Linked DNA regions of Macaca fascicularis. The protein of the gene in region 3 interacts with the protein of the main gene of each other region in a pairwise test. Links are inferred from orthologs where the notes say so. Each region holds a gene or a part of one and is shown on either strand. Other genes may lie near its edges.

Region 1 (4,102 bases), on a different chromosome or scaffold from region 3:
GCAAGGAATAAGGGACGAGATTACAGAGAGTGCCCATCAGCTCCTGGCACATAGCAGTGCTCAGTCAGGAGTAGCAATCATTACCACAAAGCCTGGCTTCCTGCACCGACAGGCCAGGGGCTCTCACAGACAGTGAGACAGTGCCAGAGACGTCCTGCCACAAATACCAGGAGGCTTTGCCACTTCTTCGTCTCACAGCAGACAGCCTTTAGGGTCAAGCCCATCCACCACCCTGGGGTGCCCCCACCCTCACCCTACAGGAGTGCAGGTGTGAGAAGCATGGCTGTTGGCCAAGGTGTGAGCACCAAACTCTGGGGAGCACCCCTAAGGATGACGCTGGGGAGGACTACAGAGGAAACCACACCTTCATATCTGGGGAGTATTGGTTTTACCTTCAATCTCCGAACTGCTTAGATAAAACAGAGTGAAAGGAGGGATGAAAATGTGGAGTGAAGGGAGAACTTGAAACCTTACAGATAGAAAAGTGTAGGTTAGGCTGGGTGCAGTGGCTCACGCCTGTAATCCCAACACTTTGGGAGGCTAAGGTGGGAGGATCACTTGAGGCCAGGAGTTTGAGACCAGACTGGGCAAAATAGTGACACCCTGTCTCTATATAAAATTTTTTAAGAACAGGAGATTAAAAAGCAAAAAAAAAAAAAAAAAAGGCCAGGTACAGTGGCTCACGCCTGCAATCCCAGCACTTTGGGAGAGTGAGGCAAGTGGATTACCTGGTTAGGAGTTCAAGACCAGCCTGGCCAACGTGGTGAAACCTCGTCTCTACTAAAAATACAAAAATTAGCCGGGCATGGTGGCGTGCACCTGTAGTCCCAGCTACCCGGAAGGCTGAGGCAGGAGAATTGCTTGAACCTGGGAGGCGAAGGTTGCAGTGAACCGAGAACGCGCCACTGCACTCCAGCCTGGGCGACAGAGCCGAGAGAAAGGGAGACTAAGTCAGCATCCGTGGAGTTACTTTTGGGGGAAGCAAAGTGTAAGTTTCCCTGGCTTTACTGCAGATAAGAGATTGACACCTAAATACCCTTATCTGCAGTAAAGCCAGAGACCTTAAGAACGCTCTGAAGGAAACATCACACGTTCAGTCAATTTGATATTACATGTGTGCGGGCCACAACGTCCCAGATACCTGGAGACTACCCTCTTCTCTGTGTTCTTCTAGTTTCTAGCCAAACATTTGGACCTGCTACAAAGACAAGCACACAGAAACGCTCTGGGAGAGGGGAAGAGCTGGGGGATTAGAGCCAAGCGGACATACCCCTCCCTGCAAATAGGATATGTATAGGGGTGCCATCCTGACGCGGGGGTTAAAGTGTTCGCTGTCTAAAGGATTTCTCCCACTCTGATGGATGGCCTTTAAGTATTTCAAAAGGTGATTCCAACCTGCAAGGCCAATACCGTCTTGAAAAGGGACCTTAGAAGTCTCACCGCACGCCACGGGGGTGGGACCCTTTCCTGAAGGCTTTCATAACTCTCCATCCCTTTTCAGGGAGAGGGCACTGGCACAGGCGTCCCCTGCACCATGCCCGGGATGTTACCTCGCTTGAACTCCTCCAGGACAGCGTCCAGCTTGGTGTCGTTGAAGACGAAGTGGAGCGGATGGTTGTAGAAACGAGTGATGGTGCTGAGCGGCGTGCAGTCTTCAGGATCCACGAAGGCCAAGTCCTTGAGGTAGAGCATGTCCACGATGTTGGAGCGCTCCTCCTCGTACACGGGGATGCGCGTGTGGCCGCTCTGCATGATGCTGGCCAGGACGCCGAAGTCCAGCACGGTGCTGGCGTCCAGCATGAAGCAGTCTTCGAGGGGCGTGAGCACGTCCTCCACGGTCCGGCAGCGCAGCACGCCCTTGCTGAGATCGCTGTAGGGGTCGCCGCCGCCGCGCGCCAGCTCCAGCACCCGTTCCCGCAGCCGCCCGGGCCGCGCTGCCAGCTCCAGCAGCTGCCCCACGGGCAGCGCCACGGGCAGAGTGAGCAGGACGGCCAGGCGGCTGAGGCCGAGCGCGCGCGGCGCCAGCACCAGCGTCCAGCGACCGCTCACGGCGGCCGGCACCACCTCGCCCACCAGGAACACGAGCCCCGCGCTGCCCAGCACAGCAGGCACCGCACGCTGGCCGGCCGCGCGGTACAGCAGCACCGCCAGCGCTGCCTGCGCCAGGCTGGCCAGCAGCAGCAGCGCGCCCAAGGCGCAGCCGGCCCAGCGCCGCGCGGGCTCCAAACGCCGCGCCGCCGCACGCTCCGCCTCCGAGCCGCTCTCGCGCAGCACCTGCACCTCCGCCGGCGCCAGCGCCAGCGCGCTCAGCTGCAGGCCGCGCGCCAACGCTGCCAGCGCCAGCAGCCCGGCCGCCCCCAGGCCCAGAGCCCAGGGAGGCGCCGCCTCCTCGGTCGCCCCGCCACCCGGCTCCACGCGCACCGCCAGCAGCGCCGAGTGCGGGCGCACGGCCTCGGTCCGCAGGCGCAAGCGCAGCAGCGCGCGCCACTCGCCCGCGGGGGCGGCCGCCTCCTCCCGGCAGCCCGCCCCCTCGGGGGCCACCCAGGACCAAGAGCTGTTGGCGAAGCCCGGGCCGAAGAGGCGCAGGAGGAAGGTGGCGTCCGGCGTGTCCCGCGCCGCCCCTCCGCGTACCCACCCCGCGCCCGCCGCTCCATCCTCCTCCAGACAGAAGCCCAGCACTCGCGGGCCCGGCGCGGCGTCCCCCGCGGCGTTGCCCAGGCAGAGCGCGGCGAACAACCAGCCTAACACACCCGCCGCCGCTGCCGCCGCCGCCATCGCCTGCCGCCCCCTCTCGGCCTCTCGCGCAGCCTACCCCGCTCGCCCCGCGCCTCCCCGGGCCAATCGTTGCCGGTCTTCGCGCTTCCTCGGCCAATAGGCGGTGGACAGGGGCGGGCCCCAGGGTCGGACTAGGCTGCGCCGGGGAGTAAACAAGCGGCCGCTAGGGGCGGGCCGGGGGCGTGGGGCTCTGGGCCCGGCCGGGTCTGCGGCAGCTCCGGATGCGCGGGGTGGCCGTGGCCGGGAGAACGCGGGGCGGCGGGCAGGGCCTCCCCAGCCCGGCTGTCCTCGGCCCGCGCGCGGCGCCCGGCTGTCCCCCGCGCCCGGAGGCCGCGCCAATGCTCTGGGAAGTGCCCGGCTCTGGAGCGGAGCTGCCGCTCGGAAGAACCTCGGGTCCTGGCGCGCCTGAAGTTAAAGACCGGACGGAGAGTTAAATGTGCGAGAGATGTGCCTTTTTCTTAGGAAAGACCACCGGGTGCCAGAAAGGTTTTCGACGCGCCGACCTACGGTGCTAAGAGGGCTGAAGTAAGAACCAGTGACCGAGCGCCCGGAGGTGAAGTTGATGGAAGATGTTCATCGCTCCGGACCCTGCTGGAGGTCTGGGGACGTCGGACACAGCCCCTGCGGTCCCGCTGCGGACCCCGCGATAAACACGCAGACACACAAAATCACTACCGCCTTGAGTCTGGACAGCTACCTCAGGTTGTTAGTATCTTACAGGAGCAGAGCGGAGCTCGGACCGACTTAGTGTGCGTGCTGGGTTCCGGCGCCCCCGGCCTGCCACCCAGGTCAGCATCGCAGCCACGCAGGGAGGCGGCAGTTCTGTCTACGGAATGACTACCTCTGGTGATTCCACTTCTCATAGCTCGCCGCTGGGAGGAAAGTACCACCTCGGGACTCACAAGATCTATTCCAGAGGATCCGCACTGGTGAATTGATTTTAGAAGACAGTGTGGTCTGTTGACAGTATGGAAGGTTCTTTACCCATTAGATATGATCTGTCTGTGATTGGAAGGAAACAGACCAGATGCTAACACTTCTCTGTAGATGTTCAGATTCAGTAATTTTTGTATTTTTCTCTACACTTTTGTTTTTTCAAATTTCCTAGCACAGGAAGACTTTGACTTACTGCGCATGTCATTTTAAATGACCTTTATAAAAACTATAGAAACAATTTGCTATGTCATGAAAGTAACATTCAAATAAAGTATGCACATTGTGGCCACAAAGTAAAACTTGTGTGGAAAGTAATGTGCAAAAAAAAAAAAAAAAAAATTAAGTAAGCTGGTGGTGAATGGCCAAAGGAAAAGACTTTGTAAAAAACTTT
Region 2 (4,054 bases), on a different chromosome or scaffold from region 3:
AGTTCAACGTTGGACAGGAAAGTTGCTGGGCAGATGGCCATTCAAAAGTATGTTTTGTGCAAGGTTGGGGTTTTTGCAGAATCTTTGTGATAGTTTTCATTATCAGATATTTATGCATGAGAACCCTCTTGTCATGGTTTTCTCCGACTCTGTCCGGGTTTTTTTGTTCTGTTTTTTTTTTAACACAAGTGACTCCAATTAGATTAACAACTTTTGCATTCTCAGGACACTCACAGCCTAAGCCACCTCTCTACCCCTACGTTGTCAAACGCGATGGGAGTGTAGTAAGGCCACCTCCTTCCCTGGTGCTTTGTTCCCTGTAACCACGAGTAGTAATCCATCACACACCTGCTTCCCGAGAATCCTCGAGAAGGAATCGGCCGAAGGGCTTCAGCATCCAGAAAGCCCCGAAAGCGCCACAAACAAGGCTCTTCCTCGGGCTCCCCGGTGCTGCCCCGGGCGCGCGCCATCCACCCGGCTGACAAAAAGCACCAGGACATGACCCCGTCCCCTTTGATTTCTGTCCAGAGGTGGCGGACTCACCTCGGGGCTGGGATAGAGGACGGGTCGGGGTCGCTACGCTTTTTGCAAAAGGGTCAAAAGACTGATGGGGGTGGGTAAGGAGCTGACGCCCGCGCTCTAAAGGGGCGTCCTGGTCAAGGAGGCTGGGCCGCGCCCCGCCAGCCATGGGGATCCTGGAGGTGCTTCTGCCTCGACGTCCTCCCAACATGGGTGCTGCCAGACTCCGTTGCGCTCCTGAGTTGCTCCTCACGTCATTCCAGCCGCCCGACATGGGTGCCTCACTTTCGGCTTCTGGGCCACGTCGGGGCGGCGGAGGACCCGGGGGGCCGGGCGGGAGAGTGGGAAAGGTGGGGCGGGAAAGCCGAGAGAGGCCCTCACCCGCCTTCCTGTTGGCGGGGGCGGCAAGTGGGTTTCTTTCTTGCGTTCAGATTTTGCAATAATTTGCAGCTGGACATAGGATATGGGAGACAAGGCTGCTCCTCGCAGTACACCCACCCACGCCCATACCTCCCTCGGCGAAGCGTGTCGCAGCGGGTTCCAGCGCAGGCTAAAGAGCTTCCGCAGCCAGAAAACCGAAAGCGCGCCGCGCACGCGCGCCAAGGAGTTCGGCGACGGCCCCGCCCCTCGCCTGCCTCGTCCCGCCCCTTCCGCGCCTTGTAGGGTGGGGACAGCGCGGCTTCCGCCGGGAGCCTGGAACCGAGCCCGGCAGCCGGGGGCTGGGCGCCAGTACCCACTCCGCCAGCCCCAACCCGCAGACGGTTCCCTGTCTCCCGCGCCCCAATTTCGATTTTCAGACCCAACTCCTACAGGATTCTGAGACCCCGGCCCATCTCCCCACATTCCATTTCCAGCTGCAAATTACTGCAGAGTCTGAACCCAAGAAAGAAACCCATTTGCCGTCCCCGCGTCTTCCCTCGCCAGACAGGTGGAGAGTGGGTGAGGGTCTCGCTCGGCTTTCCCCCTGCACCTTTGCCACCCGCCCGCCCGTCCCTGGGGGTCCTCCGTCACGCCGGCCATGGCCCAGAAGCCGAAGTTGGACCCCCACGTCGGGCGTTTGGGATACCTGCAGGCGCTGGTCACGGAATTCCAGGAGACCCAGAGCCAAGGTGAGAGCCACGGTGGGACCAGGTGACAGGGTCGGCTGTGACCGCCGCCCGGACCTGGCTCCAGTGCCGCTTTCCCGTTGCAGACGCCAAGGAGCAAGTCCTCGCCAACCTCGCCAACTTCGCTTATGACCCCAGCAACTACGAGTATCTACGGCAGCTGCAGGTCCTGGATTTATTTCTCGATTCGCTGTCGGAGGAGAACGAGACCCTGGTTGAGTTTGCTATTGGTAAGGGCTGGGCCCGTTCGCTAGATGGCTAAATGGGCCGGGGTGAGATAAGTGAGTTACAAGTGAGTCCTTGGGGCCTGGCGTGGTGGCTCACACATGTAATCCCAGCACTTTGGGAAGCCGAGGCGGGGGGATCACCTGAGGTCAGGAGTTCGAGACCAGCCTGGCCAACATGGCAAAACCTCGTCTCTACTAAAAGTACAAAAATTAGCTGGGCATGGTGGCGAGTGCCTGTAATCCCAGCTAAGCGGGAGCAAAAATTAGCCGCACACAGTGGTGTGCACCTGTAGGCCCAGCTACTCTGGAGGCCGAAGCAGGAGGATTGCTTGAGTCCGGGAGGCAGAGGCCAAAGTGAGCTGAGACTGCGCCACTGCACTCCAGCCTGGGCGACGGAGTGAGACCATGTCTCAAAAAAAGATGTTTTAAAAAGAGCAGTTTTGTAGCCAGGCGCGGTGGCACACGCCTGTAATCCCAGCACTTTGGGAGCCCGAGGCAGGCGGATCACCTGAGATCAGGAGTTCGAGACCAGTCTGGCCAACATGATGAAACCCCGTCTCTAACTAAAAATACAAAAATTAGCCGGGCGTGGCGGGCGCCTGTAATCCCAGCTACTCGGGAGGCTGAGGCAGGAGAATCACTTGAACCCGGTAGGCAGAGGTTGCTGTGAGCCGAGGTGGCGCCACTGCACCCCAGCCTGGGCAACAGCGAGACTCCGTCTCAAAAAAAAAAACAACAACAATTTCAGGTGGGTGAGGTGGCTCACACCTGTAATGTCAGCACTTTGGGCGGCCGAAGCAGGCAGATCACTTGAGTCCTGGAGTTCAAGACCGGCCTGGCAAAAGCCCATCTCTGCTAAAAAAAAAAAAAAAAAAAATTAGTCTGGCGTGGTGTCCCAGCTACTCAGGAGGCTGAGGTGGGAGGATTGCTTGAGCCTGGGAGGACGAGGCTGCAGTGAGCTGGGATTGGGCCACTGTACTCCAGCCTGGGTGACAGAATGAGAATCTGTCTTAGAAACAAAAGTAACTCATATTTAGTGTTTTCATATCAGGAGAAGCAGAGATGGCTTGCAGTCTGTAACTTACGGCTTCTTTTGTAGTTATGATCTTAAGACCTATTGATTTATTCACTGGGCAGATATTTACTGGGCATGTACCGTATATGTAAACTACTGCTCTAAATGCTGGAGTATGGTGAACAGGTTAGGGAAAGTGTTTGTCCCTCAGGAGCTTACATTCTAGTAGGGGGGACAGGTGGTTAGCAAACAAAAAAGATGATGCTCAGCAGCAAATAAATGGGGTGATGAGAAACAGCAGTAGAAGGTGGTGGTTACTTCCGTTTTGGCCATCATGAGAAAGGCATTTTAGCAGGGACACAGCATGGGCAAAGGCCTTAAAACAGGAAGGAGCCAGAAGGAAGATGAATGTGGCAGGATCGTTATAGTGAAGTGGAGAATGGCACAAAAAGAGGATAGAGAGTTAAGCGGCACCAGAGCTTGCCGGAGCTTAGATCTAGGCCGTGGGAAATAGTTTGAAGCAGACAAAATTTTGAGAACAAACAAAAATCCCTGTTTCAAGCCATGCACAGTGCTCATCTGTAGCCCCAGATAGGAGGATCGCTTGAGCCCAGGAGTTTGAGGCTGTAGTGTGCTACGATTGCATGATTGCACCTGTAAATAGCCACCGCACTCCAGCCTGGGCAACACGCGTGTGATCACCTGGCTGAAGTCTTGTCAGGCTTCTCCACTGTAAAATTACTCTTTCTTTCCCCTCTTTACGTATTATGTATTATACCCATTGGAAGGAAGTCACTACATAAATTATCTTAAATCTTTTTCTTTTTTTTGAGATAGGGTCTCACTGTGTCACTTAGGCTGGAGTACAGTGGTGTGATCATAGTTCACCATAAATTTAAACTTCTGGGCTCTAGCAGTCTTCCTGCCTTAGCCTCCCGAGTAGCTGTGACTACAGGTGGACACCACCATGCCCGGCTTTTTTTTGTTTTTAATTTGTTTTCGAGAGGATCTCACTGTGTTGCCCAGACTGGTCTCGAACTCGGCTTTTTTTTTTTTTTTTTTTTTTTTTAATTTGTTGTCGACACACGGTCTCACCGTCTTGCCCAGACTGGTCTTGAACTCCTGGCCCCAAGAGATAAATCGCTTGTAACCCTAAACAGACCCTCATTTCATAACACTGATTCTTG
Region 3 (4,007 bases):
GTTGAGCCTCTGAACGCACTGGTCTAGGTGGCTACTCAGGATCAGTGCAGGGGGCCTGCACACCACTAGGGGCAACAGTACCTTGAACAGGCTGTTCGTCTCACCTGGGGTTCTAGTTTGTTATCAAGCAAAAGGGGCTCACTGCCCAATATGCTAGAAGCCAATACTGACACCAAGTTTTTGAAAAAAAGAAAAGCTTTATATTAAAAGTCACCTCTGAAGGAGGCAGGAGTCAAGCTCAAATTTGTCTCTCTGTGCTGGCATTAAAGCAGTATTTTTATTGGAAAAGGTTCAGGGGGTGGATTCTGAGATTAGCAGGTGATTGGTACAAGGAAAAGGGAGGTCTGGAAAGTCCTTGGGCATGCACAGTTATTTCTTCATGTTAACTCCTGAGTTGCATGTGCAAATTCAGGGGGAATTAGTACAAAACATGTGGTGGAAATTCAGGCTACGACATCAGCAAGCTTATTGTGTGCAAGCTCCAGTCAGCCATTTTGGTTCCAACCAATTTCCGCCAGGTTTTTCTAGATCTCACAAGTGGAGGGAGTTTCAGCAGCTTAAATTTCTTTTCTTATCTGCTATCCCGAAACTCAAAAATTTCTGTTAGTTACTGATTTCTTACTCTTTGGGACTTTCCATATCTCCCATTTCCATCTACCAATCACCTACTAATCTCGGAATCTACCCCCGGAAACTTTTCTAATAAAAATACTGCCTTAATGTCAGCACCGAGAGACCGGTTTGAGTTTGACTCTTGTCTCCTTGGGAGTTGACTTTGAATATACAAGTTTTTCTTTTTTAAAGAACGTAGTGTTTTAGTATTGGCTTCTATTGCATTGGGCAGTAAGCCCCTTCAGCTCTATCACACTAACTCCAGGTAGATAGCATCAGAATGAAATGGAATTGTAGGGCACACAGTTGATGTCAGAGAATTAAGGAATTGAGTAGTGTCAGAAAACACCTCAGACTATACTTTCTCGCTTGGTGTGGGAAGAGTTCAGTTGTGTTTCCTTCTTCTTGAGTGACCGAACTCCAAGAAGACGCCACTTCTGGAGAGAAACTAGGGGTCTCAACTTAGCCTGGCAGTGAGAATACAAATGGCAGCTGGGATGACCCAACAGGGGGCTAATGTTTGAGCTATTGTGTGTCACACTGACCCTGACCGGCCAAGTAGTCACAGCCCCCACAGGTTCTTCCTGCCTGTCAGATGCCTCATTCCCACCTGTGATGCTCAGACAGAAACCATGAGCCCTGAAAAACACCCTATTGTTTTGTGATGTCACCTCTGGAATGTTCTGAGTGTTTTGGTGACCAACTTCTGCATAGGACCTATACCTGGCAACTCACATTGGTATGGCTTTTTACTTGAGATAGAAATAATCATCTTAGGCAAGCAGGTACAGTTATCTCCGCGTCAAAGACTTTCAAAAGTCTTTTACATCAACTATAATATCTAGCTTAATATCTGTTCAGAGATTGATAAACCGTCTTGCCAGATATCGTCTACACATTCTTCCAGACTTTCATAATTGTACATAACTGACAAGAGGGAAATAAATGAGGAGAAAGTTCTATGTTTTTTAGGTGAGCAATTGAGGCCCAGAGGATGAGTTGGGAAGCAGCAATCTTCTTCTTTTCTCTTTTCCACAGCACTCAAGGCCAAATTTTACAAGAAAAAGAGATACCAGATCTGAAAGCCTAGAAATTCCAATCAATGTGGTTCTACCTCAGGTAGGGATAATCACAGAGGATGTAACCTATCGGTGTTAGCCAGAATAACCCCCTACCTCCTCCTTCAAAACTCTAGCAAGATGTTGTAGAATAAGCAGAGATAGGGCTTCAGGTTCTAGTTTGGGTTGGCTGCCAGCAGGCAGCGTGCTGGGGAAGGCCACATAGCCCCTGTGGGCCTTGGGTTCTTTTTCCCACGAATGAGGTGGTTGGGTCAGATGGTTTGGTAAGAACTTCCAGTCCTAACATTCCAAGTTTCTATGATACTCTGAAGTAACCCAACCTTCTCAAAACGAGACCTTTTGGTGCTTAGTGTTGTGCATTCACTTTGGATTTCTAGAGGAGAATTAGAACTGGGACTTGGAATCAAATGCATAAGAATGAATCCATGAGAAGAAAACCTCCTTCATGGACAGAGGGGTACAGAGTTATTTGGAGTTGTCAAGAGAATTAAGCCCTGCTATGCACCAAAGACAGATGTAGGGGCCATGGGCATAGATGCTTTTGTGGTCAATGAATTGGTGAAGTCCTCACAGGCTAGAGATTCTCAGGTCTCCTCCTGCCTGAAATCAGCTCTTTCCTTAGTGGAGTCTTCTTGATTGAATTGTGTCTACTGATGCTATGTCACAAAGGGGTGGCTTTGCTTTCTCCAGAGTCACCTAAGGCCTCATTGGAAGACCAGGGCCATGCAACCAGAGGGGTTGAAATGTAGGATGGAGGAATCCAAAGCAGAGGTAACTATCTGAGAGCTCTGTCCAGGGATGTGTAGGAGGAGGATTGACCACTGGTGAGCATTCCAGATATAATTGTAACAATCTAGGCAAGTATGTTCAGTGGGAGGCAAACATATGGAAGAAGAAAACATCCTGGATGTTTATTTTCACATTATCTTTATAACTTTGTAATGAACAGTCACTTTTCTATGACTTGAATCTTAGCTAGAATATAAGATAACTTCCCCCTGATCATTCGACAGGATAACAAGCTGTAGGAATCTTTTTGGGCCTGATTCTTTCCACCTGAAATATGCAGGGAGTTGTGTTGGCCACTGCTTCCCCAAGAGTGGGTGTTACTGCTGTGATGCCTCATGGCCCATATAAACCAATCTTTTCTTCCAGAATCCTGGGGCCTCTCAACTTTACATGCTTTGAAAGTACCTCAGATGGCTGAACGTTCTCTGATAGTAACCCTCAGTAATGTTGGCAAAGTTGGTGTTTAAGAAACTTGGTCAGGCAGAGGATGCCAACCTAGAGGTGGGTGTGAAGGAGGGGATAGGATTTGAAAGAGTAGTGGTCATGTGATAGAGAAATTGGAATGATGTTTCCATCAACACCTACCGTAACTTTCCCTCCCCAGCTCCCAGAAACAGCCCAGCAATCAAAGAGAAGAGAATGTGGTTTAAGACAGCTCAAGCTTGTCTTGGGGCTGCCTGATTACTGTTCTGGAGGACCTGGTGCTGCTGCTGGGGTCCTGTGGGGGCAGAGTGGGTGAAGAATGAGAGGATATCTCCTGTCTGGGCATGTGTACCTCTCACGGGAAGGTGTATACACCTGCCAAGAGGGCACAAGCCATGCACCAGGTTTTGGACACCTGTCAGGATGCTCAAGACTGGCACTCTGGGGACGGGTGTGGGTGTCTACAAGTAGATAATCTGAACCAAAATACCACCAGGGCTGCGAGAGGGACCAATGTGCTCACTCGGCCTCCCTAGATGAGATGGTGCATGGCTTAGGGGACAGGGTTGATCTGGGAAGCAAGGAGAGGAAGAAATATCGACTGAATGTTAGTGCGATCATGTGTTGAGCACGGTGCCAAGTAAGTGTGAGGTAGAGATTTTACAGGTACAGGAACTGGCAACCCCAGGAACCCCACTAGTAATGGCAGAGATGGAGGAAGGGGCTTGAACTCCAATCAGTGCCCATGTTCTCCGCTATACCAGGGCACATGCCACTAAGCTGGGCCACGCTGCATCTTAGCTCTGTGGTTCTTCTTTTGCTCTTTGGAGATGGAGTCTTCTCCCCGCATCTTAACCGCTCATCTCTGGGCTTCTTATTTTGTATTTGCCAAAAGCTACTCTATTCTGGGATGGAATCCACTTTCCATTTGTTTCAGAAAGGACTTGTGGCAGCAGCTCTGTCTCTAGAAAGTGCCTCTGCTTCCCAGCTCCCAGTCCTGCTGTGTGTTTAGGCTTCTCAATTACATTGCAAATGCCTGTGATCACTACTTGTTATCACCCTTAGGTCTTTTCAGGACGCATTGATTTCCCGTTTTTCTTCCTC

Evidence for each region. The genes of interacting proteins can lie anywhere in the genome.
Region 1: the proteins of CBY2 (region 3) and CNNM3 interact in binary tests that used the Homo sapiens proteins (3 or more experiments, as listed by UniProt). The two-hybrid records come from large-scale screens. The link is inferred for Macaca fascicularis from reciprocal best matches to the Homo sapiens genes CBY2 and CNNM3.
Region 2: the proteins of CBY2 (region 3) and ARMC7 interact in binary tests that used the Homo sapiens proteins (3 or more experiments, as listed by UniProt). The two-hybrid records come from large-scale screens. The link is inferred for Macaca fascicularis from reciprocal best matches to the Homo sapiens genes CBY2 and ARMC7.

The regions. Positions count from the first base shown.
Region 1 is NC_088387.1:1,835,685-1,839,786, reverse strand, and holds the start of CNNM3 (metal transporter CNNM3), read right to left. Parts: upstream 2,811-4,102; 5' UTR 2,776-2,810; coding exon 1,551-2,775; intron 1-1,550. UniProt on the Homo sapiens protein: Probable metal transporter.
Region 2 is NC_088390.1:81,488,854-81,492,907, forward strand, and holds the start of ARMC7 (armadillo repeat-containing protein 7), read left to right. Parts: upstream 1-1,244; 5' UTR 1,245-1,537; coding exon 1,538-1,628; intron 1,629-1,711; coding exon 1,712-1,855; intron 1,856-4,054. UniProt on the Homo sapiens protein: As a component of the minor spliceosome, involved in the splicing of U12-type introns in pre-mRNAs.
Region 3 is NC_088391.1:24,906,732-24,910,738, forward strand, and holds the start of CBY2 (protein chibby homolog 2), read left to right. Parts: upstream 1-1,205; 5' UTR 1,206-1,276; coding exon 1,277-1,351; intron 1,352-1,650; coding exon 1,651-1,731; intron 1,732-4,007.